Notamacropus eugenii: one gene and its partners. The protein of the gene in region 4 purifies or fractionates together with the protein of the main gene of each other region. This does not show direct contact. Links are inferred from orthologs where the notes say so. Each region holds a gene or a part of one and is shown on either strand. Other genes may lie near its edges.

The links.
Region 1: the proteins of TXNIP (region 4) and WWP1 purify together in Homo sapiens (affinity purification with mass spectrometry; 4 studies listed by BioGRID and IntAct, counting the BioPlex papers as one, with this or other methods). This does not show direct contact. The link is inferred for Notamacropus eugenii from reciprocal best matches to the Homo sapiens genes TXNIP and WWP1.
Region 2: the proteins of TXNIP (region 4) and WWP2 purify together in Homo sapiens (affinity purification with mass spectrometry; 3 studies listed by BioGRID and IntAct, with this or other methods). This does not show direct contact. The link is inferred for Notamacropus eugenii from reciprocal best matches to the Homo sapiens genes TXNIP and WWP2.
Region 3: the proteins of TXNIP (region 4) and HDAC1 purify together in Homo sapiens (affinity purification with western blotting; 3 studies listed by BioGRID, with this or other methods). This does not show direct contact. The link is inferred for Notamacropus eugenii from reciprocal best matches to the Homo sapiens genes TXNIP and HDAC1.

The regions. Positions count from the first base shown.
Region 1 is NC_092875.1:168,486,714-168,494,622, reverse strand, and holds the start of WWP1 (NEDD4-like E3 ubiquitin-protein ligase WWP1), read left to right. Parts: upstream 1-4,908; 5' UTR 4,909-5,220; intron 5,221-7,909. UniProt on the Homo sapiens protein: E3 ubiquitin-protein ligase which accepts ubiquitin from an E2 ubiquitin-conjugating enzyme in the form of a thioester and then directly transfers the ubiquitin to targeted substrates.
Region 2 is NC_092872.1:709,228,261-709,235,223, reverse strand, and holds the start of WWP2 (NEDD4-like E3 ubiquitin-protein ligase WWP2), read right to left. Parts: upstream 3,013-6,963; 5' UTR 2,172-3,012; coding exon 2,127-2,171; intron 1-2,126. UniProt on the Homo sapiens protein: E3 ubiquitin-protein ligase which accepts ubiquitin from an E2 ubiquitin-conjugating enzyme in the form of a thioester and then directly transfers the ubiquitin to targeted substrates.
Region 3 is NC_092876.1:77,578,653-77,586,393, reverse strand, and holds the start of HDAC1 (histone deacetylase 1), read left to right. Parts: upstream 1-4,735; 5' UTR 4,736-4,811; coding exon 4,812-4,860; intron 4,861-7,741. Other genes in the region: tyrosine-protein kinase Lck, read left to right, coding at 439-641. UniProt on the Homo sapiens protein: Histone deacetylase that catalyzes the deacetylation of lysine residues on the N-terminal part of the core histones (H2A, H2B, H3 and H4).
Region 4 is NC_092873.1:303,293,943-303,301,289, forward strand, and holds the start of TXNIP (thioredoxin-interacting protein), read right to left. Parts: upstream 3,012-7,347; 5' UTR 2,598-3,011; coding exon 2,348-2,597; intron 1,964-2,347; coding exon 1,891-1,963; intron 1,779-1,890; coding exon 1,631-1,778; intron 1,236-1,630; coding exon 1,133-1,235; intron 1,018-1,132; coding exon 761-1,017; intron 644-760; coding exon 487-643; intron 380-486; coding exon 234-379; intron 112-233; coding exon 76-111; 3' UTR 1-75. UniProt on the Homo sapiens protein: May act as an oxidative stress mediator by inhibiting thioredoxin activity or by limiting its bioavailability.

The DNA of each region.
Region 1 (7,909 bases), on a different chromosome or scaffold from region 4:
TGTGAAAGGTATGAAAGGTACCACTGTCCATTCCCTATTTTTTAAAATCTTGTGACCTTTTTATTCAGGTTAAGTATCTTTATGGAATTTATTATGATAGATTGTGTGAAATGTTGGTCTAAATTGTAATTTGTCAAACTTTTTTTTTTCAACTTTTCTTAGTTAGGCAAGGTAACATAAGCATTTATTAAATGCTTATTTACTATGCTTCAGGCCCTCTGCTAGCAAAAAGAAAGACAGACCCTGCCTCAAGGAGCTTACATTTTATTAAGACAACGTACAAAAGGGAGCTGAAAAGTAGAGGACAAGGAGGAGAGAGTGTTTCAGTGTAATTCTTATCAAATTAGGAATTCTAGTAATTTGTGTTCATGGGTTTATTAAACATTGGATTACTGTATTTGTTCACTTCCTGTTCTTGCTTGTCTAGTTTGTCCCACTAACCCACTTTTCTATTTTTTAACTGGTTTTGATTGTGACTAAATTACAATGTAGTCTGAGGTCTAATAATGTTATGCTTCCTTCATTGTATTTCCCATGAGACACTTGTCTTTTTGTTCTTTTAGATAAATTTTGTTATTTCTTTCTAGCTTTATGATGTATGTCCCAAATGTCTTAGTAGTTTTAAGCTTTAATAGCTATTAAAGTTAAATCTGTATATTAATTTAGGTAGTGCCATCATTTTTATTACAATGGCAAAGCTAAATCACAACCACTGAATGTCTTCAATTATTTGTTTCCTTTTATTTCTGTAAAGAGTGCTTTGTGGTTTATATAAATGGTTCATCCTACTTCTACAATATCTCTAATATTTCTCCCTTTCTCTCTACTCCCTATGGCCACCACTTTAATTCAGTTCCTCGTCAATTCTCAATTGGATTGTTGCAATAGCTTTTTAATTTGTCATCTGCTTCCAGTCTCTTCCCTCTAAAATTCATTCTTTATATAGTTCCCAAATTGGTACTCTTAAAGCAAAGTTCTAATCATGTCATTTCCTTGATCAAGAAATTCCAGTGACTCCCTATTTCCCCTAAGATAAAAATTCAGAGATTCCTCTGCTTGATATTTAGCCCTTCATAATCTCGTCCCAGTCTATCTTTCTAGATATTTTACGTTAACTTCTTCATGCCAGTCAAATAGGCCCACTTGCTGTTCTGTAGATACAACATTCCATCTCCTACCTCTAGGCTTTTGCATAGACTCTCCCTACATCTTGAATGCCCTCACTCACTTCGCTGGCTCCTTTCAAGGTCCAGCTCAGATGTTATTTCAAATCCGAGGCTTTTCCTGATCTCCCATTTGTTAGGGCTCTATTCAACCTCCGCACTCCCCTCCCTCCAATCACTTTATAATTTACCTGTTTTGCATTTTGTGTTCATTTATTTGTATATATGCTTTTTTATCCAGCAGCAGATAAGCTTTTTGAGAGCAAAGTCTACTTTATTTTAATCTTTTTAGCCATAATACTTGACACAGTGCCTTGAATTTATATTTGGGAATTTTTCTTTGACTAAGAATGTAAAATTGAAAATTTATTTTAATTCTATTAAGCTAAATTGTAATCAAGATGTATTTAATATTCCCTTTCACTGTTCCTTCACCCACTAACCACATCCCAGAGAAACTTGGTCAACCTTTTGTCTTGTAATTACCCCTATCTTTGTAACCCCACCTATCACCCACTTTCCAAAGAAACTTGAATAACCTAAAAGGTCAAATCTCATCAATTTAAGCTATTGTAGCAACTCCCATTTGAGGAGAATCTTTATCTTGTGACTCAAATCACCTATCTTGGTTGTGGTAAATGGGGCAGCTGCGGGGCAGGAGCAAGAGAGACCCATCTTCCTGAGTTCAATTCCAGCCTCAGACACTTAGTACCTATGTGACCCTGGGCAAGTCACTTAATCCTGTTTGCCTCAGTTTCCTCATTTGTAAAAATGGCAAGTCACACCCATATTTTTGTTACAAAAACCCCAAATGGGATCATAATGAGTCAAATACAACTGAATAACAACAAGGGGCTTTTAGAAGGGGAGAAAGAAATGATATAATCTTAATTCTGACTATGTCATCAATAGCCAATCAGAAGACACATCTGTACTGCTCAAGATTTTGCTCTGTCATCTTAGTAATTGTTACAAAAGACCCTGTCAGTCCTCACTCAAGGTCTTTGGTTACTGAGACACCATAGACCCAATTTATTGTTTACTGTTGGCCTAACTAATAAATTAATGATACCTGGAACTTTGTCTCTTAGTTTACCTTCATTTTCAAATGTAACAAATTGAACCAAATGACTTCTGAAGTCTGTTCCAACTCTGGAATTTTATATTTCTACTGATTCAAGTTGGACTTGAAGCTGGAAAATTTTCAAGAATAGGTCTTGTGATGGGCTTTATAGCTGTTGTCAGAGGACAAGTTTAGCTAATTTTAGAGAGGTCTATTATCTAGTTGGCCAAACAGTGATGAATTTTTGGCCATGGCAACTCTGAAATACCATTTATTAAATTATAGAGGTATAGTACTCTGCAGCAGAGAAGGATATACCTATACTGATGACATTACAGATCTCTGAGGTTTTGAAGTATGGACTGACAAACAGAATCTCCCACGGTTTGATTCACATCATCTTGGATATGTAGGCATTCAATAGCAGTAGGAAAGCTTGGGTGGAAATCTTGCTCTGACATTTACCAACTATGTGACCTTAGTCTTCACTTAATCTCTTTCAGCCTCATTTTCTTAGTTTTTAAAATGATGATGATACCTATGTGACTATACCCACAACTTAATATTTACCAAGTAACACATCAATTAAGATACAGTTGTGACAAAGACCAAAAGAGATAAAATATGTACAATACAAACGTTGAAGTGTCATATAAATACCAGTTATAATAATTATAGTAACTCCCTCACAGGGTTGCTGTGGGGATCAAATGGGATTGTGTTGAGGCTTAGGGGTGCTTAGGACCCCAAAATACCAACACGCCAGGTCCTGTCTGAATGAATTCGACTCAAGCCTTCTTTCAGCCAAAGAAAAGTAAATTTTATTAAATACCGGCCATATTTGGTAGACTCTTAAGGAACCTAAGCATTTGTGACACTTGTATTGACAAATGGGCCAGACTGAATCCGAGCTAGATAGAATCTTAGCACCTTCAGGGAGGCAAGATGTTTATATACAGAAAGGCTATGGGAGGAATCTAGGGGTGGCCAGATAGTCTGGGGTGATGGGAGGAGGGGCTTAGAGAGGGTTTGAGGAGAAGTCTAAGGAGGCTTTGATGGGACTGGGCTGATTAGAGGTCAAAACCAAGACAGTGGGATTTTGATGGGAAGCAGACAGAGGCAGTCCAGAGCTAACAGACAGAGGAGGGCTAGGCTAGATTACCGGTATTTTGATGGGATCAAGGATGGGAAGCAACCAGAGGCAATTAGACAAGGAGGTAATGAAAGGCTTAGGGCCAGGCCAGATCCACTGAAGATTCAAGGAGAGTTCAAGGGGGTTCCCAGAAGCCTGTACCCTATCAATAGTCTATATGAAGCATTTTGCGAACCTTAAACACTACGTTTTAGCTAATAGTGTTATTATAACTGTAGCACCTGTGCCTGAATGGGCTCGGGTGGTCTCCTAAACTAGGACAGTGTGATAAAAATGTATCAGATACAGTTACATGTTTGCCAATCTTCTTCTGTGTAATAGGGTTGGAAGGAGAGCTAAGCTGGCTGACATGAAACTTGTTCTTATCCGCTAGACTGGGTTGGTACTACTCAAGCACTTTGCCTTCCTCCTCTCTCCCCTAGCAATCCTGAGCCCCAACACGCCATACCCCTAGACTGCAAATGCACTGAAGGACACGGACAGGGCTCTCTTCTCCACAGAAGTGGAGCTCCACTCCTCCTGAAATGCCTTCGGGATCTCTGGTCACCCGGGGGCAGCCCGGGCCCACGCCGCGCGGGTAGAACACGTGGGCAGCCACCACACACTCACTGCTTGTTGGGGATTCCTTCTTGGGGCTGTTCCCTTATTTCTGAAGAGCGGGTGCACCGGGCCGCCTCAATCCCATTCCCTCTCCCACAGAGGCCTCGGCTGAGGCAGCTCAGACCGGGGCTGTCGTTCGCAGAACTTTGGGAGGAATGCCTTCATCACGCAAAGCTGGGGGAGGGAAGGAGCCACGGCTTTAACTTCCGCAAGTATCTGCAAAGAGAACGCTTTTTCGACTTGCAGATGGAAGAACGAGTGCCCCTGGCGGAGCGATCCCGCTGAAGTCCAGGTCGCCGGTCGTGGCCAGGTGAGGCCAGGTGAGGCCAGGTGCTCCGGCCTGGGGCCTCCCGGGGGGCGGGGTGATCCAGCAGAGGTGGCGGACACCGTCCTTCGCGCGGGGCCTGGGGTCACGTCCCGCTCGTTTTCCGCTCCCGCCGCTGGGCCGTGCCTCGGGTTTCTCCAACTGAAGCCAGCGCTCCGGCTGGCAAACTTGAGAGTCGGAGCCCCGGCTCTGCCCCGCTTCCTTTCCCGGGTCTCCGCGGGAGCTCCGCCCCTCTTCAGGTTCAGTCCTCCGCTCAGCGCTCGCTACGGCCTCCGCCCCCCACCCCCAACGCCCCCTCACTGCTGGGAAGACCAGGACAAGTTAAAGCTTTCACTCGGAGCCGTGTCCCGGTGGAAGCTCTTGCGCATGCTCAGAGAGCCGGCTTCTGGCTCAGCCCGGATTTGTCCGCGGCGGCCGTGGCGGCGCCCCGCGCGCTCCCGGGCAGGACGCGCGCGAGAGGACGGCGGGGTAGGGGGAAAGCCTCTGAGTGCGCTCCCGAGTGCGGTGGAGAGGGGAGTGGATGGGGCGCCGCTGCGCGTGCTCCCGGGCATAGTGACGGGGGGCGGGGACGCGCTCTCGGGGCGCGGCGCCGCGGACTAGGGGACGGACGGCGCTCGCTCCCGCGGAAGGAGGTGTGGGCTTGGACTCGGGCGGTGCGGGGTTCGGGGTTGAGGGTTGGGGTGGGGGGGAAGGGGGCCCCAAGGTCTGCGGTCTCCCCTGCCCGTGGGTCCGTGCGGCTGCAGGCGGCCTGCACCGCCGAGGGGCCGACGCCGGGCGGGTGCCGCTGGGAGATGGCCATCCTTGACTCCGAGGGGTGAGGAGAGCCGCCACCGGCTACTGAAGGAAGAGGAGGCGCCGCCGCCGCCGCCACCTCCCGGGCCGGCGGGCGAGGGAGGCGGACCGGCCGCGAGCCTCGGTAAGGACGCGGCGGGGCTCGGGCGGCGGGGCCCGGGCGGCGCAGCGGGCGTCCCTTCGCGGGCCGGGCTGGGGTTCGGGGCTCGGGCCCTCCCCGTCCCCTGGCCGCCCCCGTGCTCCCACCCCCTCGGGCCAGGCGGGGAGGGGGCGGGAAGGAGGGCTCCGGGGAAGGGGAGGGCGGCGCTCGTCCTCCTTCTCGAGTGGGTTCGTGGGTCTTTTCCTGAATGGGACCCGCCAGAGGCCCGCGTTCGTGTCCCGGAGCGGGGAGAGTGTTTTCGTGCGCCCGCGGTCCCGGGCTGCCTGCCGGCTTCTCTGCTCCGTCTCTGCCTCTGCCTCTCCCTCGGTCGCCCTTTTAATAATCTCCTCACCTTCCATGTCCGGGGCGCCCACCCGAGCCCAGCATTTTTCCGTGGCGTGTTGGTGTTGCTCCGCAGACTTCACCGCGCCGTTCCCCTGGCGCACCCCCTTCTGTGACCCTGCGGTTCCCCATGACCTTGCCGTTTTTATTCATCTCCACAATATCATCTTCCCTCTCTCTTTCCCTTCCCCCTCCCAATGTTTCGTCCGTGTCGTTTCTCCATCACCCCTTTGGCATCGGAGCGCTCTTTGGGGGTGTCTGCTTTGGGTTGTCTTAGACATTGACGAAGAAACATTGTCCATTTGCTTTGGCATTCCTGCTTCTCTGGACTTCTAGTAATCTGGTTTTGATTTCTCCTTTTAAAATGTTTTGTGTTGTGTAGGCAAACATGAATAAAGCGGGAAGTGATTTCTATTTCCACATAACACATAAAGTACATTAGAGGTAGGTGTGAAGAAGAGAAGCTTTACAAAGAAATTATTTTGACTTCTGTAACCAGAAACATCTAGTGTGTACTGCACATATAGGTTTATTTTAGTCTGTAGCTTCTTGAAAAATGGCATACGTGGAAAACTGTTAATTTAGGTTCACACTGCCCCACTAAGTCTGTTAATTTAAACTAAACAGGGAAATCAGAAGTACAGTGTATCAAACATTCAAAAGAAAGTGACTTTCAGAAAGACTTTGATTTGGGTGATTTTAAGTAGCAAAATACTTAATGACAAGTTAATTTTCATAGAAGTGACCTTTATAATAATTCCTAGCTAGTTAGCTTTAAAAAAATTAAACTTAATAGTGAACTGATAGGGACTGCTCACTGGACTCCTTTGGTAGTCCAATAAAGCCTATAAACCCCTTCTCAGAATGTTTTTAAATGCATAAAATAAATACGTATGAAAGAGGAACAAGCATTTTGGGTGGTGGGATGGGAGTGGGGAGAAAAATCATTTATGAGGATCCAACTGTGTGCTGGACATTAAGTCCTAAGGGCTTTACAAATGTTTTTCACATTTGATCTTCAAAGCAATCCTTTGAGTTAGGAATTCTTGTTATTCTCGTTTTACAGTTGAAGAAACTGAGCCAGAAAGAAGTTTTAAGTGATTTGCCCAGGGTCACACTTGAATTTCAGGACTTCCCGACTCCAAGTACAGTGCTCTATCCCCTGCGCTGCCTATTTAGTTAGAAAACCAATTATATTGAAATACAGTTATGTAAGTTTTTTTAAGTTCCTGGACCTTGGAAGAGATACAGAAATAATGCATAAATTTTATTCCTTTGTTTTTAACGTTAATAGTATGGTTATAATGTACTATTTTTATAACTCAATGTAAAAAAGGTTTTGTCTTCCAAAAGCATCATTTTGAGTTACAATAAATCAGTCACCAAGTATTTACTAAGGACTAACCATGTTTCAGCCATTGTGTCCCGTGTTGAGAAAGAAAGACAAAAATGAAATTCCATGCCCTTAGTCTGTCAACTCATTTATTATGCACCTGCTGTGTGCCAGGCAGTTTGCTAAATGCTGGGGATAAAAAGAAAGCCAAGAGACAATCCCTTCTGTTAAGGTTCTTACAGTCTAATTTGGGAGACCATATACAAACCTCTGTGTACAAACAAGATTACAGCTAATTGGAGATCATTAAGGTAGGGAAGGCACTAGCATTAAGGGGAATCTTTAAAGTCTTCTTGCTGCATATGGTACTTTAGCTGATAACTTGAAGAAAGTCAAGGAAGTTAGGAGGTGTAGTTGAGAAGGAAGAATTAAGGTTGTGGAATACAGCCATTGAAAAAACTTGGAATCCAGAAATGGAGTGTCAAGTTCAGGAGGGGGAAAAATCCAGCAAAGGAGGTCAGTGTCAGTGGATCTCAGTTTCTTCATGGGGGAGGGGGGAAGGTAGGTAAGGTATAAAAAAAATGGAAGGTAGAAAGGGGCCAGGTTATGGAGGGCTTTCTAAGTCAAAGAGGATTTTATATTTCATTCTAGGGGTGATAGGGAGGCACTGGAGTTGGTTAAAGGGGGTGTTGACATGGTCAGACTTTTGTTTTAGGAAGATTACTTTGACAGGTGAGTGGAGGGTAGACTGGAATGGGGAAAGACTTGAAGCAGGGAGAACAATCAGCAGGGTATTGCAATAGCAGGTGCATGAAGTAATAAGATCATGAACCAGGGTGGTGGTAGTGTAGGAGCACAGGGAGCCTATGTAAGAGATGTTATAAAGGTAGAAACAGAACTTTGCAATCAGTTGGATATGGGTGAAAGTGTGGAATCCAGGATGACATTTGGGTTGCAAGGTTGCAGCCTGGTGATTGGATGATGTTACCTTGGAAAAAA
Region 2 (6,963 bases), on a different chromosome or scaffold from region 4:
ACAGGAGGAAAGGGGGGAGGCTGGGCTTTGAGTTGCGTCTGGAATGAAGTCAGAGAAGCTACAAGGTTGAGGTGAGCAGGGATAGCATTCCAGGGATGGGGGACAGCCAAAGCAAATGTGTGGAATAGTGAGATTAGCCCACTTTCAATTCTATGAGCAGATTTTCCATTTTCCTGAACCTCAAAGAAATTCCGGAATCTGTATAGGAAAAACAAAACAAAACCTACTCCAAAGATCCTTGAAAACAACTTTATCTATTACTTCCTACGATTGTGGTCATAAGTAACACTACTCCTACAAACACCCTCCTGACACCCCAAAGCCCACAAGCCACTATTGAAATCTTTCTCTGTAGGCCAGACGGCACCCAGGGAGGGACAGCCTTCCTACCAAAACAGCTCAAGACTTTTCAGGAGAAACTTCCAAGTTTCTTAAGGACTCCCTAAATAAAGAACAAATCCAATTAAAATCAATCTCTTTCAATTCAACAACTATTTAAAAGGCACCAACTGTGTGTAAAAGACCAGTAGACCAGGCACTGGGCCTGAAACTCAGGAAACCTTAAGTTCAAAGCCAATCTCAAACAGTTCTCAACTGTGTGACCCTGGGCAAATCACATAACCTCTGTCTGTTCCCTAGATACAGAGGCAATAATAACAGCGTCTACCTCCCAGGTGGTTGTGAGGATTAAGTGAGATAAAATTTGTAAAGAGTTTAGCATAGTGCCTGGCAGATGGTTATCCCGAGCCACCCTTACCCCCATCCCCAATCCCATCATCAAAGACAACATGCTGGGATATAAAATTTCCAGAAGTACTAAACTAACTTTTAATAAACTTCAATTGGAAATTAAACAACGTGTTGTAACACAGAATAAAGTTGTTTGGCTTGAAAATTTAACATCTAGCAGAATAGACTCTTTAAGATGCATAGTGTTTCCTCCAGGAAACAAAGAGCTACTAATGATAGCTAAAGTTTCCCCTCCCCTTTCCTTGGAAATAATGAAGTAATAACTTAGAACTGGTGCCCAAAAATAGATAACCTTGTCTAACTATGTTTGGGGCAAAGGAGTAAACAATCAAAAGATCTGGATTCTCAATTTCACTGTCACTTGCCAAAGGACCCTGGCCAAGTCCTTCTGATTCTAGGTTTACTCACCTCAAAATGGGAACGCCAACCGCCCTGCCTATGCCATTGGATGTTTTGGGAATTAAATGAGACTAGAAGCATTACTGCTATTTCTACTACTTGCCAACAACTATGCCTAGGCCCACCATGAATCTTCTGGTCAGTGACAGATTTCAACATGCCAATTTCATGTTTTCAAATTTTGGTAACAAAGCCACAAAACGGAGGTAAATAAAGTAGATAAGTTTAAATAGGCATTTAAACTAAAAATGAAGCAACCACATAGAGGACACAAAAGGGCGCTGAGGAAGAGCTAGGAATATGACTACCTCTGTCTCTTATTTATAAAGAGATGTCTACTGTTTTGAGACACTCAGTCTTGTTCTAAACCAAAAGCAAGCTGGAGTAGGGACCTATATGCATTTGAGAAAAAAACATGAAAGGTATTCAAAGCCCTCTTTTTACAATACTTCAAAGTAATCACGAAATTGACTCTGATAGGTGCAAAGTACTGAGTTTTTCTCCCATAAAAGGAATTGAAGCAATAATTTTCCAACCCCAAAATATTACAAAACATTATGTGCATTTTGTAGGATTTTAGTTCCTATTTAAGGCTTGTAATCTTCCACAAAACTGCAGCATTATTGAGTGGACAGAAAGGGAAATTTGGCAACAGAGCACCTCAGTGCAAATCCTTGCTCAGTCGCCTATGTGACTATGTGACCTTGGGCAAATCTTTTCCCCCCTCTGGGCCTCCTTTGCTCATCTGTAAAAGGAGATGGCTGGACTACAGATGATCTTCAGGGCCCTCACAAGCTCTAAAACCTACTCTCATGTTTAATCTGGGGCACAGAAGTGACCTTGGGATCTTTAGGTTGGCTCACCTGTAACTTTCTGGACCAAAGCCCCTTACCCTGACACATAAAAAAGTGCTTAACAAGTGATTTTTCATTCATTAAAAGCTACATCAGTAGAAAATACACTCTTACACGTCTCACCTGTCTGGAAGACTTCATATGCAGATACTTCAACAGACTGTACATCCAAGGCTCAACCTAATTTTGTAGAGTCTCATCACTAAAGGTAAAGTCACCATGTTTCTGACCACTGAAACTCATAAATACCATTTATGGAGGCAGAGTAGAGCTACAATCTAGACCCTTTCCTTCCTGAAATCCTTTAAATAATTTTGGTTTAAAAAGAATTAAAGCTTATTTTATTTTCAAAACTGCCTTTCACTTGGGCTTCATCATGAATATCCAAACTTCTGGGGGACAGTGGTAAGAGTTTAAAATTAATTAAAATGAATTAACTAAAATGAATTACTGCAGAGTGCTACCTTACATAAATTTATAGAAGCATACAGAATATACAAATCTATATCAATGCGGATTTACACGTAAACCTATGCGTTCACACAGACATCCTACATACAGCAAGTGCACGGGGGGACAAGGAAAAGCTACTTCTCTGAGTCCCCGTCTTTACCCACAGGAACAAAGGTCTCTCCGGCTCAGCCCTGCGGATCTGTTACCAAGGCAGGCAGGACCGGACTGGACTCAATAATTCAGCTCGGACACAAGAGAAAAATAAAGAGGGAACGCAGGACGTGAGCAGGAAGCCGCCTGTAGAGTTGGGACGGCCGGGACCCGAGGGCTGCTTCCGGGCCGGGCCGGGCGCACGGCTCTTCCGGGTTCTATTTTATTTATTCTATTCTGGAAGCCTGCAGGGTGAGCTGGGCTAAAGGAGGCTGCCAGGAAAGATGATCTCTGGAGAGCGGGGACGCCGGCACGAGTGGAAAAACCGGGGCGTCGGAGGCAGGAGACGCGGAAAGATGAAGCGGACCGAGGGAACCCTGCCGGAGGGGGAGGGGGAGGGGAGCGGAGGGGGGAGGGGGGAGGGGGGAGGGGAGCGGAGGGGGGGGCAGCGGCCGGAGCAGGAGCAGCCAGGGCTCCCTCCCCACGACCTTCGCCCCCGGCTTCTCACACTCTCAGCTCCTCCAGCCTGAGGACTGTCCGCTTTTTGCCTTTCCGGGGATCCCGGCACACAGTAGGCGCTTAAGAGATGCCCCTTGCCAGCCCCTTGCCAGCCCCCGCCCCCAGGTCACCGGCGCCGGGCCCTGCCCTGCCCCCGGCTCTCCGCGGGACGCTCCCGCCCCCTCCCTTCCCCTCCCCCCGAGCCTCCCAAAGTGGGTGTATAGACAAACCCCTCCTCAGAGGCCGGAACCACCGTCCCAGGCCCCTCCCACAGGAAGCCGCCTCCCCCCGCCTCAAAAGCCGGCAGCCAAGCCTCGGCCCGCCCCGGCCCGGGCTGCCCGACCCTCCCGGGGCCCGCCCGCCCGGCCCGGCTCCGAGGCTAGATCCCTACCTGCAGCAGGCCAAGCAGCGGCGCCGAACTCCTCTTCTACTTCCGCCTTCGACAGCTGGAACTCGGGCCGGGTCAGGTGGCCATTGTTGGTCACCTGACCCGGAAGAGGCGAGCCCGGCCCACACAAGTGTGGGCAGGCGAAGCCGAGAGCGCTGGAGGGCGCCAGGAGTTGGGCGGGGCGGGGGCGAGGCTTGCGGGGAGCCAGCCCCTTTCCCAGTTTCTTTATATTTATTCAGAATTAACCTTGAACTCGAGCTGCAGCCCGCTTTAGAGTCCAAGCTCCCTGAGGGCAGGAGCTCCGTTTGGTTCCTTGTTATGTTCTGGGCTCCATCCCCAGTGCCAGGACCCACAAGAGGCATCTTTTTCTTGGAGAAAGTTCTAGAATGAATGAATGAATGAGAAATAATTTGTTAAGCGCTTACAGTTGATACTGTACCTAGCTGGGGATACAGATTCAATTCAATCCAATAAACATTTATTGTCTACCCGGTATTGGGGCGACTAGGTGGCACAGTGCTCTAGTCAGGAGGACCTGAGTTCAAATCCAGCCTCAGACACTTACTAGCTGCGTGACCCTGGTCAAGTCACTTAACCCTGTTTGCCTCAGTTTCCGCATCTGTAAAATGAGATGGAGAGGAGTATAACAAATCACTCTAGTAGCTTTGCCAAGAAAATTCCCCAAAGGGGTCAGGAAGACTCAGACACAAGTGGAAACAAGCAAAAAGCAGCATTCCAGGGACTGTGCTCCGTTCTGGGGATACAAAAACAGGCACCAGACATATTTATGGGACAGTTCCACTTCCAAAGGCATTCACCATATTGGGGGTGATTCCAGCTGCTGAGGGGGGTTATCCAAAGGACCAGGGGAGCCTTTCCTGTGGGGTGAGAGGAGGCAGGAAACATTACACCTGTAGGTTTCAGCCACATGAGCAGTTCTATTGATTTTTAATTATATGTTTTTTTCAATTAACAAGCATTTATTTTCTACATCTCCTACCTCAGTGGGGAGAGGGGAATTGAGAAAAGAAAGACGGAAAAGCAAAACTGCACGGTCAACAAAACACATTTTCACAGTGTCCATGTCTAAAAACTTACTCCTGGAGATGTACCATGGTTGCCTCCTTCTGTCGGGGTGAATAGGCTTGCTAGGTAGCATTATTCCTTATGTAGGAAACAAAGGAAAGAGTTCTGTTTCCACAGGGTAGAAACTTCCAGCTTTGAGTGATAATAGTCAGACTAGTTGTAACCTAGCACGGTCAGGTGAAAAAAGTTAGAAACTTGCAAGAGAAAGCAGGGGTTAAATGTCCATAAAGGTTGTTAGCCCCTAAGGTTACTGAATAAAAACTGCAGGAGACCCTGATCAATCAGAAAACGGTTAGCGGCTTTCAGAAGGAAATTGGTCCAGCTTAAGCCAGCTGGAGTCACTGGTAGGGCAACCTAAAAAATCCAGCTGTGCTTGCTTAATGACATACAGTGGGCATGTCAAAAGATTGTGACCTGAAAGAGAATGGACCAATCCATCCTCTGGTGGGAGAATCTGTCCTTCACTAACATTATAAAAATGCATTAGCTTCTGTATCTCTCTCTCTTCCCCTTTTTGAAGAGTCTACTTTGGCTAAAGTGTTCAATTCCTCTGAACTCTAATACATTTTTCTTCATACTTTTTCAGTGTCAAGCATGTTTCTAACACTTATCAGTTCTATGGAACAGTGATCGTAAGTTTTCTTGACTGTTCAATAAAAGAATGCCTATAATAGGTGGTCAGAAATTAGACTAAGTAAGAAAAGGAAGATGATGGACAGAATTTTCCAGATACCTGCTGTTGCCAGGCAGCATGACCAAGAGCAGGATTAAAGCCACTTTAGTTCTATAGTCCCTTAAGGTTTGCAAAATGCTTTACATATATCTATGTAATAACCCTGTAAGGCAAATGCTATTATTACCTTCAATTTACAGATTAAGAGAGTGAAGGTTTATGAGGTTACAGGACTTGCCCAGGGTCACACCATTAATAAGCCTCTAAGGCAGGATTTGAATTCAGGTCTTTTTGACACCAAGTCCAGCATTCAACCCATCTCATTGACTTAAACCTCTCCATCCACCTAGCATGTTAGCATGGATTTAAACGGGATGTGCACAGCACAATGGGATGTGCTGACTCATTTCCCAGCTGACCACTCTGGACTTTTCCCACACCCCTTTGTACTTAGTTCATCACACCCCAGGAACCACATCATCCTGTAAAATCTCTTCAGCCTTGTTACTCACACTTCCTCGGTTCTGATTGGAAGGCAAAACAAAGAGCTCCTCCCAAACCCTCCAATTAAGGGGTACCAGGCAAGCCAAGTCTTCTTTTCCTGCTGGACTGCATACTCCTTCGGACTCCTCTCACAGTCCCCCAGCCCCACCCCTTGTCAGTTTCCTTTGTTGTCTTCCCAAGTTAGATTCTGATTTCCTGTAGTATACAGACTTTCTGTTTCCCATTTTTATCCCTAGAGCATAGTAGGGTGCCTGGCATACAGTAAATGTTTATCAATTGTTGTTGTTCGCCCATGTCCAACTTTTTCGTGACCTCTTTTAGGGTTTTCTTGATAAAGACATTGGAGTGGTTTGCCATTTCCTTCTCCAGTTCATTTCACAAATGAGAAAACTGAGGAAAACAGAGTTAAGTGACTTGTCCAGGGTCACATAGCGAGTAAGTGTCTGAGGCCAGATTTTTAATTCTGGTCTAAACAATTGGAAAAATATTAATTGCTCATGAGCCAATATAAAAATGACAGTTCTACCTAAATTAACTTATTCATTCAGTGCCATACCAATCAAATGATCAAAAATTATTTTATAAAGCTAGAAAAAAATAACAAAACTCATCTGGAAGAACAAAAGCTCAGGGATAGCAAGGAAATCAATGAAAAAAAATGCAAAATAAAGTGGTCCAGCCATACTAGATTTCAAACTGTATTATGAAGCAATAATTATCAAAACAATCAAAAACAGACTAAGAAATAGAATGGTAGATCAGTGGAATAGATTGGGTACAAATTACATTATAGTAAATGACCATAGTAACCTAGCATATGATAAACTCAAAGATCTGAGTTTTTGGAACAAAAATTCATTATTTGATAAAAACTGCTAGAAAATTGGAAAACAATGTGGCAGAAACCAGGTATATAGACCAACATTTCATACTATATACCAAGATAAAGTCAAAATGGGTACATGATTTACACACAGAGGGTGATACCACAAACAAATTAAGAGAAAATTAAACAGCATATCTGACAGGTTTATGAATAAGGGAAGATTTTAGGACCAAAGAAGATATAGAGAACATTACAAAATGTAAAATAGATAATTTTGATTATATGAAATTTTAAAGCTTTTGCACAAACAAAATCAATGCAACCAAAATTATAAGGAAAGCAGAAAACCAGTGAAATTTTTTTGCAACAGGTATCTCTGATA
Region 3 (7,741 bases), on a different chromosome or scaffold from region 4:
TTTCCTCGGTCACACCTCTCTCCAGGTTTAGGGGTGGGGTCCAGAAAGAAAACATTTTACAAGCTCAGAACTACTTCTTAGACCCATTTTATCAGAATTAAGGCCATACTTTAGGCTAACCCAGCTAGAGTGGGGGGACAAAGGTCTCTTTCAATTCTGGGGTACGTTCCTGGGGATAGGTGAGGGAATTGGGGGGAGGGAAGGGAAAGTAATCAGAACAGTGATGGATGAGTACTTCTTGGTGACATTGTAGAGGGTGATGATGAGAAACTTGTGATGTATTCTAGATGGCCCCTTAATCTTTAGGCCTTGGAGAGAAATGGGTTAGATCATCTCTAAGGTCCTTGGAGACTCTGATCTCCTAAACCCTCATTCTATATACTATCCAGCCCCCTCAGCCCTGACCTGAACACTTATTTTCTACCCCAAAATGACTAGGAATGACCAACCCTGAGGTGATTCAGAACCTGGAGCAAGGCTATCGGATGGTGAGGCCTGACAACTGCCCAGAAGAACTATACAAACTTATGATGCTGTGCTGGAAGGAGAGGCCTGAGGATCGGCCCACCTTTGATTACCTGAGGAGTGTCTTGGAGGACTTCTTCACTGCCACAGAGGGCCAGTACCAGCCCCAGCCATGACCTTCCTATTTTGGTCTCTCCCATCCCAGTCCCTGGCCCACCTCCCCAGCTTTACTCTTGCCTCCTAAATGACCCCACTCAGACTGAGGCAGGGAAGAATCTGGCAGAAGACAGAGGGCCTCAGGATGGAGGTATGGGGCACCAACATCTCAGCCATCACACTTGTGACTCCATTACCTGCCGAGGAAGGAAGACAGCAGAAGACTTGGCATTGGGCTTGTCCTTTGCGTGCCCCACCCCCAACATGTGGTCTCCCAGACTGACTCCCTACCTCTGTCCTCTCCCTGATTTCTCAGGGCCAGAGGAGAAGCCTGGACTTTGCCCCAGCCCTTTGACTCTTTTGTCTATGTGTTCACCCAGAGTGGATTCACTGTCTCAGTTTCCATAAAATTCATATTCTTAGCAGCCTTTTGAGAGCAGGGATTGTTCTTCTACATTTCTGCATCTTTCTCAGACCCTGCCTGGCACATAAAGGATATCCAATAAATGTTAGCTAAGAATGGTGACTCTCTCTACCCACCACCACTCCTCGACCCCAAAATAGTCCCTCAGCACTCATCCCTGGGCTGTGAGGAAGGGACGTGCAGAACAGGGTGGTAGGATAGAGTGGAGTATTGAGATGGCACAGTGGATAGAGCATGGGGCCTAGACTCAGGAGGACCTGAGTTCAAATCCAGCCTCGGACATCCTTTCTGTCTCTGTGACCCTAGGCAATTTTCTCATCTGTAAAAGGAACTGAAGAAGGAAATTCAAACCACTTCAGTTTCTTTGTCAAGAAAACCACCACAAATGGGGGCACAGAGTCAGATATGACTAAAATTATGGGTAGGATAGAGGGAAGGGTAGGAATAGGATCTTGAGAATTTCTGGGGATGCATCCCTGCTCTGAGAAACTTTCTTCTCTCTGAGTCTCACTTTTCTCATCTTTAAAAAACCCCTCAAATGTTTGAATTGGAGAAAGTGATTTAAGAGCTTTAGAGTGCTATGGAAGGTTCAGGTGTCTTTGTGCATATTCCACCAAAAGTGTTTGCCCTTTGAGAGCCCCTGATAACCCCTAGGAGGCAAGATCAGGAGCCTAGCCAGGAGAGTCCCCACTACAGATGAGTCTCTTGGACAATGGTGTTCCCCTCCCGAGCAAATCTTCCATCCTGAACCCCTGATCTCATCCTGGGATAATAATGATAGCTTATTTTAGGGTAGCATTTTAGAGCCTCAGAGCAATGATAATAATAGCTAAATATATATATTGATTTTTAAGATTCGTAAAATAATTAACATGTGTTATCTAAGTCAATCTTGACAATTTTACAGATGAGGAGACTGAGACTGAGAGGGGTAAATGAGTCAGGATTTGAATTCATGTCTTCCTGGCTGTAGGTGCAGCACTCTATCCACTGTGCCACCTAGCTGCCTTTAAAAACAATGTCACCAAACAATTTCTTTTCAATACTAGGCTTCCTGTTACTGTGGTTTGTCCATTCTCGAAGAGGATCATGACATCAGGGAGGCGACGTCATGACATGCCAGTGAACTGGATTTAAGTGAGGCAGGGCTGTGCAAAGTCACCAGCCTCACTTTCTCCTCCAGAGCCATCTGGGTCCAGTGGCCAGATACGGATCAGGACGACTGGCAAATACTTGGAATCCTTGTTGATGGGGAAAAAAAAAAAAACCCTGAGATTGCTGGCTTGCTTTTGAGCAAGAGTTCTGAGCTGTAGTCCGTTAAAATCAGTTGGGTGTCCATATTAAGTCCAGCACCAATTTAGTGAGCCCCTGGGAGTCAGGAGGCTTGGCTTGCTAGGTGGCTCAGTGGATAGAGCTGCAATCAGCAAACTGAGTTCAAATGTGACCTGAGACATGTACTAGCAGTTTAACCCAGGGCAAGACACTTAAATGCTGTCCGCCTGAATTTCTTTAACTGTAAAATGGAGATAATTATAGTGCCTACTTCCCATGGTTGTAGTGAGGATCAATTGGGATAATATTTGTAAAGTGTTTAGCACAATGCCTGGCACATAGCAGGTACTTAGGAAATGCCTATTCTTTTCTCTGCCTCTCTCCTCCCCTCTTTTGAATCTTAATTTCCTCATTTATAAAATAGGGACCTTAAAGACCATTTAGTCCAAGCACCTCATTTTACAGATAAGGAAACTGAGACCTAAGATGATTGTGAGAGTCTTGCCGAAGTAAGTAAAACATTTTGAATTTGAACCTAGATTATCTGACTTCAGAGCCAGGCTTTTCCATTGTATCATTATACGAGACTCAAGTGAGATTGTTTTGGTAAAATACTTTGAAAACTTTAAAACCCTACATGTCAGTTATTATGAATACTATTATTATCTAGTCCAGCCCTCTAATTTTTCAAATAGGAAAACTGAGACCTAGAGAGGGATAATAACTTCCCCAAGGTCAATTGCTAAGCCATTAATACAGTTAGGATTTGAATACAGGGACCTTGACTGAGTACAGCAGCTGCACATAGTAGGTGCTTATGTTGAATGAAATTAGACCTACATATAATAATCTGTTGCTGGGCTAGTCAATTAACCTTTTAGCGTCCTTCCAGACTTCTCTTTCCCAGGCAATTCTCTGACTATAATTTGGTAGAAGGAGTTATCTTACTGGGCATTCCTTACTTAGATAAGATCACCCCCACAGTCTGGGGGGTAAAAAAGAAAGAAAAAAAGGAAGCAAGAAATGTCACAAGGAAGTCAAAGACAAGAGAAGCTCAGCATACATCAAAATACTTAAAGTAGCATATTTGGGGGTAGCAAAGAACAGGAAACAAAGTAGATGCCTGTTCACTGGAGAATGGCTGGTTAGTCTTTATTTTAAAATATTTTTTCCAATTACAAGTAAAAACAAATTTTAACATTCATTTTTTAAAAATTTTGAGTTCCAAATTCTCTCCCTTCTCTCTTTCCTCTTTGAGAAGGCAAGCAATTTGATATCTGTTGTACACACACAGTCATGCAAAACATATCCTTATTAGTCATGTTGTGAAAGAATTGGTCTTTGAAAGTAAGGGAATATATTTCTGTACTCCAAGAAAGAACCAATATGATGAATACAGAGAAACACTAAAAGACTTACATGAACTGGTGCAGACTGAAATAAACAGAGCCAAGAAAAACAATTTACACAGTGACAATAACAATGTAACCAGAAGGAACAGCCACAAGACAATCCAAAGTAACTGTTGCAGAATTACAAAGAACAGTCCTGCCTCTAAAAGAAGACTGGAGAAAACATCCTGTTCTGCTCCTCTGCAGAGGTAGAAAGTCTATGGTGTTGAATTTGACAGATATTTTCAAATATTTTCCCCCATGCATTGATTGATTTTGCTGATTTCCTCACTTTTTTCCCTTTAAAAATATTATTTTCTCTTTTTAGGAAGGGAATGGGATGGAATTCTAGGAGAAATTTAAGTGACATAAAAACAAAAGATGTCAATACAATTTTTATTTTTAAAAAAAAGCAGCTCCATGAGACAAGGCAGTGAGGCATTATATTCATTTTACAGATGAGATAAAGAAGATTGAGGCCCAAGGAGGGGAAGTGACTTTTCTCGTCATAGGATTTGGTGCTGGAAGGGGGGGGGGTGTCTTTAGTCCGATACCATTTTATAGAGGAGAAAACTGAGGCTTAGGGATTTTCTCAAGATTAGGAAACAAGCAAGTAGTCTAGACAGGATTCGAACCTTCCATCTACCAACTGAAACTGAGGACTTCCTTCCACTAAACGACAAAGCCCTCTTCAAATTCACCCCTCCCCCCAGTGAGTGGAGCAGCCTCCCCCCACCCCCGCCTTGAACCCAGGTCTCCAGACGTTCAAGGCACATTTAAAGAAAGGGCCAATGCCAGGTTGCCCCTCCGCGGCCCCCCAGTTTCAATGCGCTGTGGTACAGTCTGTGGCCAGAGGGCGCCCCCCAGCTTTCACACGTGGTATCACCGGAGAGTGTCCGGGCCGGCTTCTTTCCCAGCCTCCTAGCCCGGAGCCAACTTCCGGGGTGGGGATGCTGAGGGGTGATTGGTTGTCGTTTCGTCAAGCCTGGCCGGACACTGGTAGATGAGCGGGGAGGGGGCGGGCGGAATGAAGGGGACCGCGCCCCCTCCCTCAGGTTGGACGTAGTGCGGCGCCGCGGGCTGGCGCGAGGGTGCGAGGCAAGATGGCGCTGACTCAGGGCACGAAGCGGAAAGTCTGTTACTACTACGACGGTGAGTGAGGCCGGCCAGGGCTGGGGGGCTTGAGGGGACCAGACCGGGGGGATGGGACCCCGAGGGGGCAGACCTGGGAGGAGGGGACTCTGAGAGAACAGGACTGGGGGGAAGGGAGCCTGGGAGACTGGAGGGAGGAGAAGGGACCAAGGGGACGGGGCGGGGGAGGGGGGGAGCCTGGGGGGAGAGGAGACTAAAGGGGGGCAGGATGGGGGAGGATCCCAAGGTGGGGCAGGAGACTGAGGGGGGGGGAAGACGAGGGGGGAAAGGAGACTAAGAGGGGGAGGGGAGACTGAGGGGGGCAGGACTGGGGGGAGGACCCTAAAGGGGGGAAGGGAGACTGAAGGGGGAGCAGGACTAGGGGGAAGAGGAGACTAAGCGGGGCAGAAGGGAGGAGGATCCCAAGGGGGGAGGGGAAACTGAGGGGGGCAGGACCAGGGGGGAGAGGAGACCAAGGGGGTCAGGACGGAGGGGAGGACACTAAGGTGGGGGAGAGGGGACTGAGTGGGGGGAGGACTAGGGGGGAGAGGAGCCTGACGGGGAGGAGAGACGCGGAGAGGCAGGACTTGGCGGGGGAAGGAAGGCTAAGGGGGGGAGGGGAGCTGAGGTGGAGAGGAAACTGGGGGGGGCAGGACCAAGGAGAGGAAACGGGGGTCAAGACTGGGAGAGAGAGGAGTCTTGCGGGCAAAGTGGGGTGGTGGAGGGGGGACAGGACTGCCGGGTAGGGTAGCCTGAGGGAGAGAGGAAAGAAAGGGGGAGGCAGGGCTAAGGGGGTAGGGAGCCTGGAGGGAAAAGGAGGCTGAGGTGGGCAATTCTATGGAGGGAGAGGAGCAGGAGTGGGGGAGTTTGAGGAGGACTTAAGAACTAGATGGGGGGAGGGGACTGAAGAAAGGACTAGGGGGAGGGAACAGGAATGGGGGGAGGGGACTCTTGAGAATTGGACTGGGGGGAGGGGAGCCTGCCAGGAGGCTAGGACCGGGATGGATGGGAGGAGGGAAGCTGGAGGGGACTGGAGTAGGGAGGGGAGGTGGGGGGAAGGATTCAAGGGGTCGAAACTTCCAGGCAGGAAGGGGGAGGGTGTCTGGTCGGGAGCAGTATCCTAGAAGTGGAAGGGGAGATGTCTAAGTTACAGATTTGGGAAAGGAATTAGGCTGGAGAAAAGACATAACTGGGGGCTGGTGTGATATGGAGCCGTTGAGCTCTCTAGCCTAGCTGAAGACATGAGGCTTCTGTAGAATGGGGGGGAAGGAGAGAAAACTCCAGAAGTGCATTCCATACTTCTATTCACAAATCATTCCTCCTCCTGTTTATGGAAAATATTGCTTTGTGTTTCAAAGGACCAGCTATCAAATTCTTCTTAACTGGGTTGACTCCTTCCTTTGGAAGTCTAGAGACATTGTGAGTGACTGGTCAGGGCTGTTCAACACTTTGTTACCCCTCAGCCCTTTTGTGATGAGACCCTAATAATCTGTCTCCCCCAAGACTGGCACTGGACTTGGCTAGTGGCACCTGTTGCAGAGAGATAGTTCCGAGGGATGGGAGTGGTTATGTGTTGATTTACAAGCCTGAATTATCCTTGGGAGCTCTTAAGACTTTACTTCCTAAAACATATCCAAAGGTTGGTACAGTGAAAGAACACTGGACAAGGAGCCTCGATCTCTACTAACTTAAATGTGTGAGCATGGTAGATACATCACAATTTCTTTGGATCTCAGTTTCCTGGTCTTTAAAATGAGTATAATAATGCCTGCCTACTTCACTGGATTGCTGTGGGAATGAACTGATGTAAAAGCTTTGAAGAGTTAAAGAACGAGAACAAAAAACCCCAACCCTCTAAAAGGGGGTGATCATTATTTTTCAAGTATTTATAACACTTTTAGTAAGCTCATAATGAATGCTTGTTAACTTTCATATTGTAGAGATGAATTGGGAGGGCTTAATGATAGCTCACTTTAATTTTACTTTAATTTCTGACAATTCTCTCTTTCACCCGGTCTTGAGTCAATAAGTAGCCCAGTGCCTCTAAACCAGATCAAATACCTATTCTCTCCCATCCTTCTCATCTCTCTGCTTCTCCCTTTCCAGCTTTGGAGTGATAATCAAAATAAACTTTTTTTGCTCTCCTATGGGGTGTGGCAGCCTTGTTTCCCTCTGGATCCTCTCAGACTTCTTGGCCTCCTGTGTAACCTGTCTTCTATCAGAATGTAAACTCCTTGAGAGTGGGGAGTGTGTACATGTTCCATGCTTTTGTATTTGTATCCTCTCACTTTGCACTCGATTCTTTTTTTTTTTTTTTAAGAAAGCCTTAGAGGGAAGTTAGTTGTCCCTGGTAACACCATTGTTAAGTGGAAGTGCTGGGTTATAAATCCTAATATCTTGATATCTTTTTTTCTTGTCCTGAAAGGAATACTCCCTGGCTGTACATAACAATAATAATAATATTTATGTGGGACCTACTATGTACTACCAGGCACTGGATAAGCATTTCACAATTATTGTCTCATTTGGTCTTTACACTAATTCTTCCAGGCAGGATTATTTACCCCTATTTTACAGTTGAGGAAACTGAGAGGTTAAGTGACTTGCCCCACACAGCTAGTATGGGATTGAGAGGGAGATTTGAACCCAGTTCATCCTTGACTCTATCCACTGTACCACATACTTTCCATTTACTTTCAGAAGAACTCCTTATTCAAAAATGAGGTTTACTGGAAGCTTGGTTCAGTCTTATGCCTGAGATAGAAGAGCTGGCGGCAAGTGGGCATATTTTATTTAAATTCAGCAAGTATTTGTTAGGCTTGATATTTGCCAAGCCCTGTACTAGATTGACAGTGTGGACAGGAACAAATGAAAAAATGAAGGTTCACTTAAAGGGATTACT
Region 4 (7,347 bases):
TGCCTCTGAAAAAGCAGTCCAGGAGAGACAGAAAGAAACAGGTAGATAAACAGCTGCTTCTCTTCTTTGGTACATTCACTGCACATTGTTGTTCACAATACAGGGATCCACCTAGAAGGGAAAAAAGAAAGATGGTTTTAGATTTAGAGGGTAGGAGAGAAGCAGGGGAATCAGAATATGTAAGTTGGGAACCCCCACCTCCACCTTCATTCAATGAAGGTAATAATTCTCACCTCAGTGTAAGTGGGTGGAGGCATAAACTTGAACTGGGATGCATACATAAAGATGGGGCTGTCCAGAGAGCTATCATCAAGGAGAGGAGTGGTGGGGCTCTCCAGTCTGTGATCTTCAGGAATAATATCCGTGTAGCAAGGAGGTGCTGCATAGAGAAAATAGAGAAAATAAACAACTCAGACAACCAAATTCTGATTTCCAGGAATCTTTGGTGGGAAAATAGGAGTACAGGGGTATACTACTTTGGCTCACCTTCTGGAGTGTCAGGGATGTTTAGATCCACCCAACTCATTTCAGAGCTGGTTCGGCTAGCCATGCTGGATGTCCGACTACTGAGTCCTGACCTGCTGCCGATGACTAGGGGCAGGTCAAGAATGACCTTCTTAGATCCAGGGACACTGACATAGATCTATATATAGGAAAGAAAAAAATTGTTTCTGTTACACCAGAGTGCCATGACATATAAATATAAAACTGCTTGATTCAATGATCAATTTACCCTAATCCCAGAGACAGACTCACTCACCAATAAAGAGTATTCAACACGAAGGATGTTGCAGCCAAGGATGGAGGGTTTAATCTTCTGTACACGAAGGCTTTTGCCACGCCATGATTCACAGGTGCCAGAAATGATATGGTTGCCTCGAACAGAAGATAGCTTTTGGGTCAACACCTTGGTCTGGCCATTGGCAAGGTAAGTGTGGCGGGCAACAATAGCAGCCTTTGGCATAACGATTCGGGAACACGTATTCTCAAAGTCAGCATTGATGGAGATTTCATCACCTGACAAAAGCATTGATTTTTGTTACTAAAGACTGTATAGCTGATGATTTATGGCTCATAACCCTTCCCCAACACTATGCAATAGCTGCCTCTCCCAAGCCCAGACTTCTCTTACCTTCACAAAATCCTTTTCGGTCAATCCGGGCAGAGACAGATACCCTCCCATCAGGAATAAACAGGCAAGAAACTTTTTTCTCCTTTTTGGCAGACACAGGTGCCTGAATAGGGAAAATAAAGAAATCTTTGTTAAAGTTTCTGAGAATTGCCAAGTAAAGATGGCTCCTGCTTTTCATTATGAGGACCTCTATCTCCTGAGATTCTAGTCCATTATCATGTAATATTAGATAAGACCTGCAGTATCATCATCTACCATAATTATACTCTCCTCTAAGCTCTGCTTGAACATCTTTGTCAATGGTCATGACAACCAGGTTTTGTAGGGTTTAGTGAGACTATACTGCTGTCAGAAACTTTAAGAGTTAAATGTTTATTCACTTTCATTTTAAGCTAAAGATTAGATTTTTATTTTCAGTATACGCCTTGTCAAGAGGCAGGGTTCCTGCTTCCTAAGATCTCTCACTACTCAAGACTTAAGCCTATTGGGAAAGCTTACCATCAAATCAGGAGTATTAACATCCACTGGATCTACCACTTCAAAGTACTTCTTGGTTTCTTGAGTTGGCTGGCTGGGACGGTCTAGGAAAGCCTTTACCCAGTAGTCTACACAGCCATACTTCCCCTTGAATGAGGTTCCCAGAGGCCTAGGGTGGAATAAAGAGAACGATTCCTTTTAGATTACTCAACCATCAAGAAACCTTGGGTGCCTAAGGGAAGGGAGGTTTTAAAGAAAAGGACAGCAGAGCTAACACCTACCCTTGAGGAAGTTCAAAGCCGAACTTGTACTCATACTTGTTTCCAGGTCTCAGGATCACAAACTCATCGTTAGCTTCAGGGAAAGGAAAAAAAAAAAGATCCACCATTAGACTTACTAAAAAAGTGGTACTGATCTTATTTTAAATGCAGAAATGCCTAAACAATATAAGGACCATTTTCTGAAACTAACTACATTCCAGTCTCCCGAAAGGAAAGGTTAATGATGTAAAGGAGTCCAAAGCGCCGACCCTGAAACCAGCTCTAACACTGAGACTTCGTTAAGCATCCAAGGCACTGCAGCTTAGCTCAAGCGAAGGCTGGGAATACTCCTCACTTGGCCAGATGCAAGGACAAAGATTCAGCTCCCCCCGCCCCCCCCCAGAACAGTGCCCCAGGGCTCCCTTTCTAACAGCTGGGGCCCTCCCCCCACCCCCGCCCTGCAGGGCGCGCCCCTTACCTGCGGGCTGGTCTTCCAGCAGGAGCGTGTCCTCGTAGCGCAGGTAGTCCACCACCTGCTTGCACTGCTGCGAGCCCTGCAGCCACAGCACTTTGGCCACTCCGCAGGCCAGGATCCTGACCGCCTTGACCCGGGTCACCTCGCACACCTCCACCACCACCCGGCCGGCCACCTTCTCCCCACTGCTGTACACCTTGTCGGGGTCGCTGAAGACCACCTCGAAAGTCTTGATTTTCTTGAACATCACCATAGCTGGGGGTTGGGTCACTCAGAGAACGGGGCAGACAAGGAATAAAGTTTCTCGAGAGAGAGAGCCGAAGGAGGATTTAACCTTTCCGGTTAAGCGGAGGACGGACAGTTCGGTCTCCCTGGTCTGGATGGGCTTGTCCGCTGACAGGCTGGGCGCTTGGATTCTAAGAAATCGAAGAGCCTCTCAAATCAGCCTTTGCAAACTTTTAAAAAGTAGAAAAGCCTAGAAAATATAAGTCAAGGGACTTCGAAAGAAAAAAAAGGCTTCGTGTCTGAGACCAAAAGGAGTTTTAAGGAAATGCCCCTCCCCGAAATCTGGGGACGAGAAAGCACAGGTCCGAAGGCAGCGCTCTAGGGATTGACTCAAGGAGCAGGCGGAAACAGCCCTATATAGGGCTCTAACTGTCGGAGCCACGCGAGGGCCTGCGAGGTGGCTCGTGCTGTCCTCGTGCACAATCTTCCCATTGGCTGCCTTTTCCTTGTTTACCAGGGACACAGCCAATCAGCGCGCGGCCTGGAGCGCGTGGACACAGTGTGCCCCTGGCGGGGTAAACGGTTGTTGTGCACGGTTTCCTCCGAGGAAGGAGGGGGCGGAGGGGTTCTTGAGCGACGTCCCTGGAGACAAATGAAAGGAGGGCGAAGGGATTGCCCCTAAGCCTATCAGCGTTCTAATAGACGTCGGAGGGCGGGTGTTGATGTCAAGGACTGGCGTTTTTGGGTGAAAGGGGAAAAGCCCCCCAGGGGCATGGCAGGCTTCTCTTTAGTGCGCGAGGCTAACTTTAGGGTAACCCAACCTTGCTCAGGCCCCTCAGATCTCGAGTCATCTCTGACTGTCCTCTGTTCACCCAATTTAGGCGACTTTCCTCAAAGACATTCCCACAGAAACCCTGGAAAGTTCTCCATTAAATTGAGAATTGAAGGAATGGGGACGGAGGGAGAATTCCTTTTTCAGGCAAACCCTCCCCAGAAAACTTAGAGAAAAAAGGGGGGGGTCACTGGTGTCTGTCAACTTTCTCTTCAGTCTGAGCCCCCAAATTGGACATTGGGGGGCGTGAGTTTTCTCACCCCCCTTTCCTTCAGCTCCTGGCTTCCTCACAAGGATTATTGCCTTTCCTCACCTTCTTTTCCCCCTCCCCTCCTCAACCACCCTGTTCTTTTTGAAAGGGAAACAAGAAGGGTGTGTGGCTTAACCCCCCATCTCTGCGTCGTCTTTCCCTGTAGAGCAGGGGGGACACTGTGTCCATGCCCCCATGTACCTGGTCGCCCCTTTGAGGAATACAGCGAATATAGTGCGTTTATCCCCAAGCATCTGCTTGGCCAATCTTGCTTCACACCTGACAAAGCCATAGGATCCTCCACCCATCTCTAATGCCTGACCTAAGCGCTCTCTGAGCCAGCTGGCACCCCCTGCTCTGGCACCCTCTGCCCTCCCTACACGCTCCCGCAGCCCCCCAAAAAGGGGGAAAACCAACCTCAAGATGAAGGAGAAAAACTTGTGTCTCAGCTCATGGAAGAAGCAATCCTAAGCACAACAGAACAGTTGTTTTTTTCAAGTATATATATGATTATTGATCACTACTTTTTCCAAAAGCCTTTAGAAAATGAAGAAATGAAGGGAAGAGGAAGCAGATTTGGAAGTCTCCAGAAAGTCTAACTAATATCCTATTGTGTGCTGTGCTTTCAGGAGGCTTAATTTGGATCTCTCTATCAGGTGGGTTTTCCCCTGAATGAGTTGGCCATAAGATCTTAGAAGATGACTATTGAAAGTTAGTCCTACTAAGGCCAAAAACTCTGTTATAATTAGAACTTTTATTTTTAGATGCAGTTCATCTTTCCTTTCTTAGGCTCCCTGTCTTTTCTATTTGTGGATATCTGAAATTTGCTTCAGTCCTCCTGGTCAGAAGGGGATGCTGATGTCCAAAAGTCTGAGAACATATAGAAAGGCAGTAGAATGGAATGGAACCCCACTTCCTCCACTATTTTTTTCCTATGATGATAAGGACCTTAATTCCTTCATCTCACACCCCAATTGTGATAACACCCTCAGGCTAGCAAATTACAATCGAAGAGGAGAAAGTTCCGGGATGAGGCTTGATGACTTAATTGGTAAGAAAGAACGGAATTAGCCCCAGGAACATCTTGATCCCAGGGGGTGTGTGGGTTAGAAGTAGCACTCTGTTGTACAGTTACCTAACAAAATAGAGGGTGTTTTTGTCAGTGAAGAGCAGTGATTGAGTTCCCAGGTCAGTCTTGGTGTGATGTTTCACAGTCCTTAACGCTGAAGGATTTGCTTTTAGATAGTAGAGAACGAACAAAAAGAAAAAAACAACATAAAAACACAAAATACATCAGACTGTAAATTAAAGTTTAATTATTGTGCATATGAGTATCGAAGGTAGAGAAGAGCTACAGAGTAATTGAAGCTGTAGTATTATAGAAGACTTCTTGGAGAAGTTAAAAACACTGATATTTATCTGGGCATAACCATGAAATGCTGAATCCAACTCTTTTTCCATATCCTACAATAAATCTGTCTTTGTCCTGGGTATTTTTCTTACGTATTTTTCTGTTATCGCCACTCTTTGCAGACCTGAGTGGTATGGATATGCTCCCTGTTATGCCAAGCTTGCCTTGAATGTCAAAAAACTATTTAGCTTTGGCAGTAATAACTTGCCAGGGCCTTCGGCCAAGATATTTTCTGAAACGGCACCCTCAACAACAGGGTTGTTTACAACCTTTCCCTTGATAACCTGCTAAAAAAAAATAAAATCAGCCTCCAGAATCTTCCCCCCAGTTCTTGGGTTGAGGAAAGAGAAAATTCTGCAAATTCCTTTTCCCAAAAGAAGCGCATTGAGGGTACAAGAAGGGGATAAACTTGGGAGGGGCTGCACAGTAGTGCTAGGTACAAGAACTTTGCATATTAGTGCACCTTTTTCTTTTCAGGCCTCGGTTTTCTTCACTTGAGTCAGAGGGAAACTAAAAAGTGATTGTTGTTTGTTTGCTTTTCTTTGGGTGGAGGTGTTGAATACAAGCCAAGATCTTAAGGAATAAGGTGTCCTCACTGATTAGTCTGCTGTTGGGCAGAGACAAGTTACAAGCTGCCCTGTTCAACCTCAGGCCTTGGCCTCAGGGATTTAAGAAATCTAGTAGCCTCAGCCCATGAGTTTGTTGCTCCACTATGCACCTCCAGTTGTATTTGTGACTCCCAATATCCATAACTTCCCTCTCTGACTACTCATTTAATTTCTTTCCCTCCTTCCTCTCCCTATCCCTCCCCCACCTTTTTAGAGGGAATTTCACTTTAGGGGAAAATAGGAGGCCTGGATGAAAGAGAGGGCATCTCATAACTATGAAGATTGACCTTGGTGGTAGTAGTAGAGTTAAGGATACTTGTAAAACAGAATTGAATTTGGAAGAATTTTTTCTAGTGTAGACTTAACCAGGCCTCTATCAATATTCAGTGAGAGCCGTGAATATAGGACCATAAGGTCATAGATTTAGAGCAGGGAAATAATTCAAAAGACAGAGCATTCTTTTTGTTTCCTATTCTGTAAAGGGATATGCTACAACTAGTTCAAGTCCTCATTACTTCTTAACTAGAATACTGTCTTATCCTAATTGGTTGCCCCTTCTCTAATTTATCTTTGAAACTACTATCAAAATAATTTCCTTGTATATAAGATGTTATTCTTTTTAAAAAAACCTTTAGATGCTCCCTGTTGTTTATTGAATAAAATATATGCTTCTCATCCTGTCATTCAAGACCCCAACATAGCTTTAAGCATCATCACATACTAGTTCCCCCTGCACTTTATATTCTACCCTAAGTAGATTTTTCAGTGATTCTCAGCTTTGTCTTGCCCTTCCTTCCTTGCCTTTATATATGATAGTCCTCAAAATAAAGCCCTCCTCCCCCCCCTTTTTTTTTTGGACCTAGCCTCTCTTTGAAGAGTGCCTCTCATTATTATATCCCTTGCTTGGGCTTGGCAGCCCTGTGCTTTTCTGAAAATGTATATATGCTATGTTTATATAGCCAACATCCTCTAGCCATTTTGTGATATCAGAGACAGGAAAACCACTTCCCCCAATAAAACTCACAACTTTTGCCTGCACCCTGGGTGTATGTATCCCTTCCCCAGGTGTCCTAGAGTTGCCCTGCTTGTATCCATCCCTTATTGCTCTTGGCTCTCTGTTCCTGCCCCTGGGTATCTCCTTATACCTTTCCTTATATGAGTCAAAATGTAGTCAAAATAAAGTTTTATTGTTAAGCATTTACTGTCTTATTCTTTTGTGAAATTTTGGAGATCTCAAACTGCTATGTCACTAGGACAGTATATTTATGCACCCTGAGGCAGTGAAAAGAACAATGGATTTGACATTCAAAATCCTTCACACGTTGGCCCTATCTACCTTTTCCGATCTCTTAAATTTTATATTCCCACACCCTTCCATTAAGTGACTTTGGTTTTCCTGCAGTTTTTCTAACAAGACACTTATCTCTCCAGTTGGGCATTTTCACTGGCTATCCCCATGCCTGGAAATCTTTTCTTTGTCATCTCTGTCTCCTGGCTTCCTTTAAGTCTTAGCTGAAATCCTACCTTCTACAAGATGCCATTCCTCATTCTCTTTAGTTCAAATTTCCATACTGTCTAACCCAGTGGACAGACAACTTCTTGAAAGCAGGAACTGTTTTTTGCTTTTCTTTTTTTCCCCAGAACTTACACAGTGCCTGGCACATAGTAAACACTTAA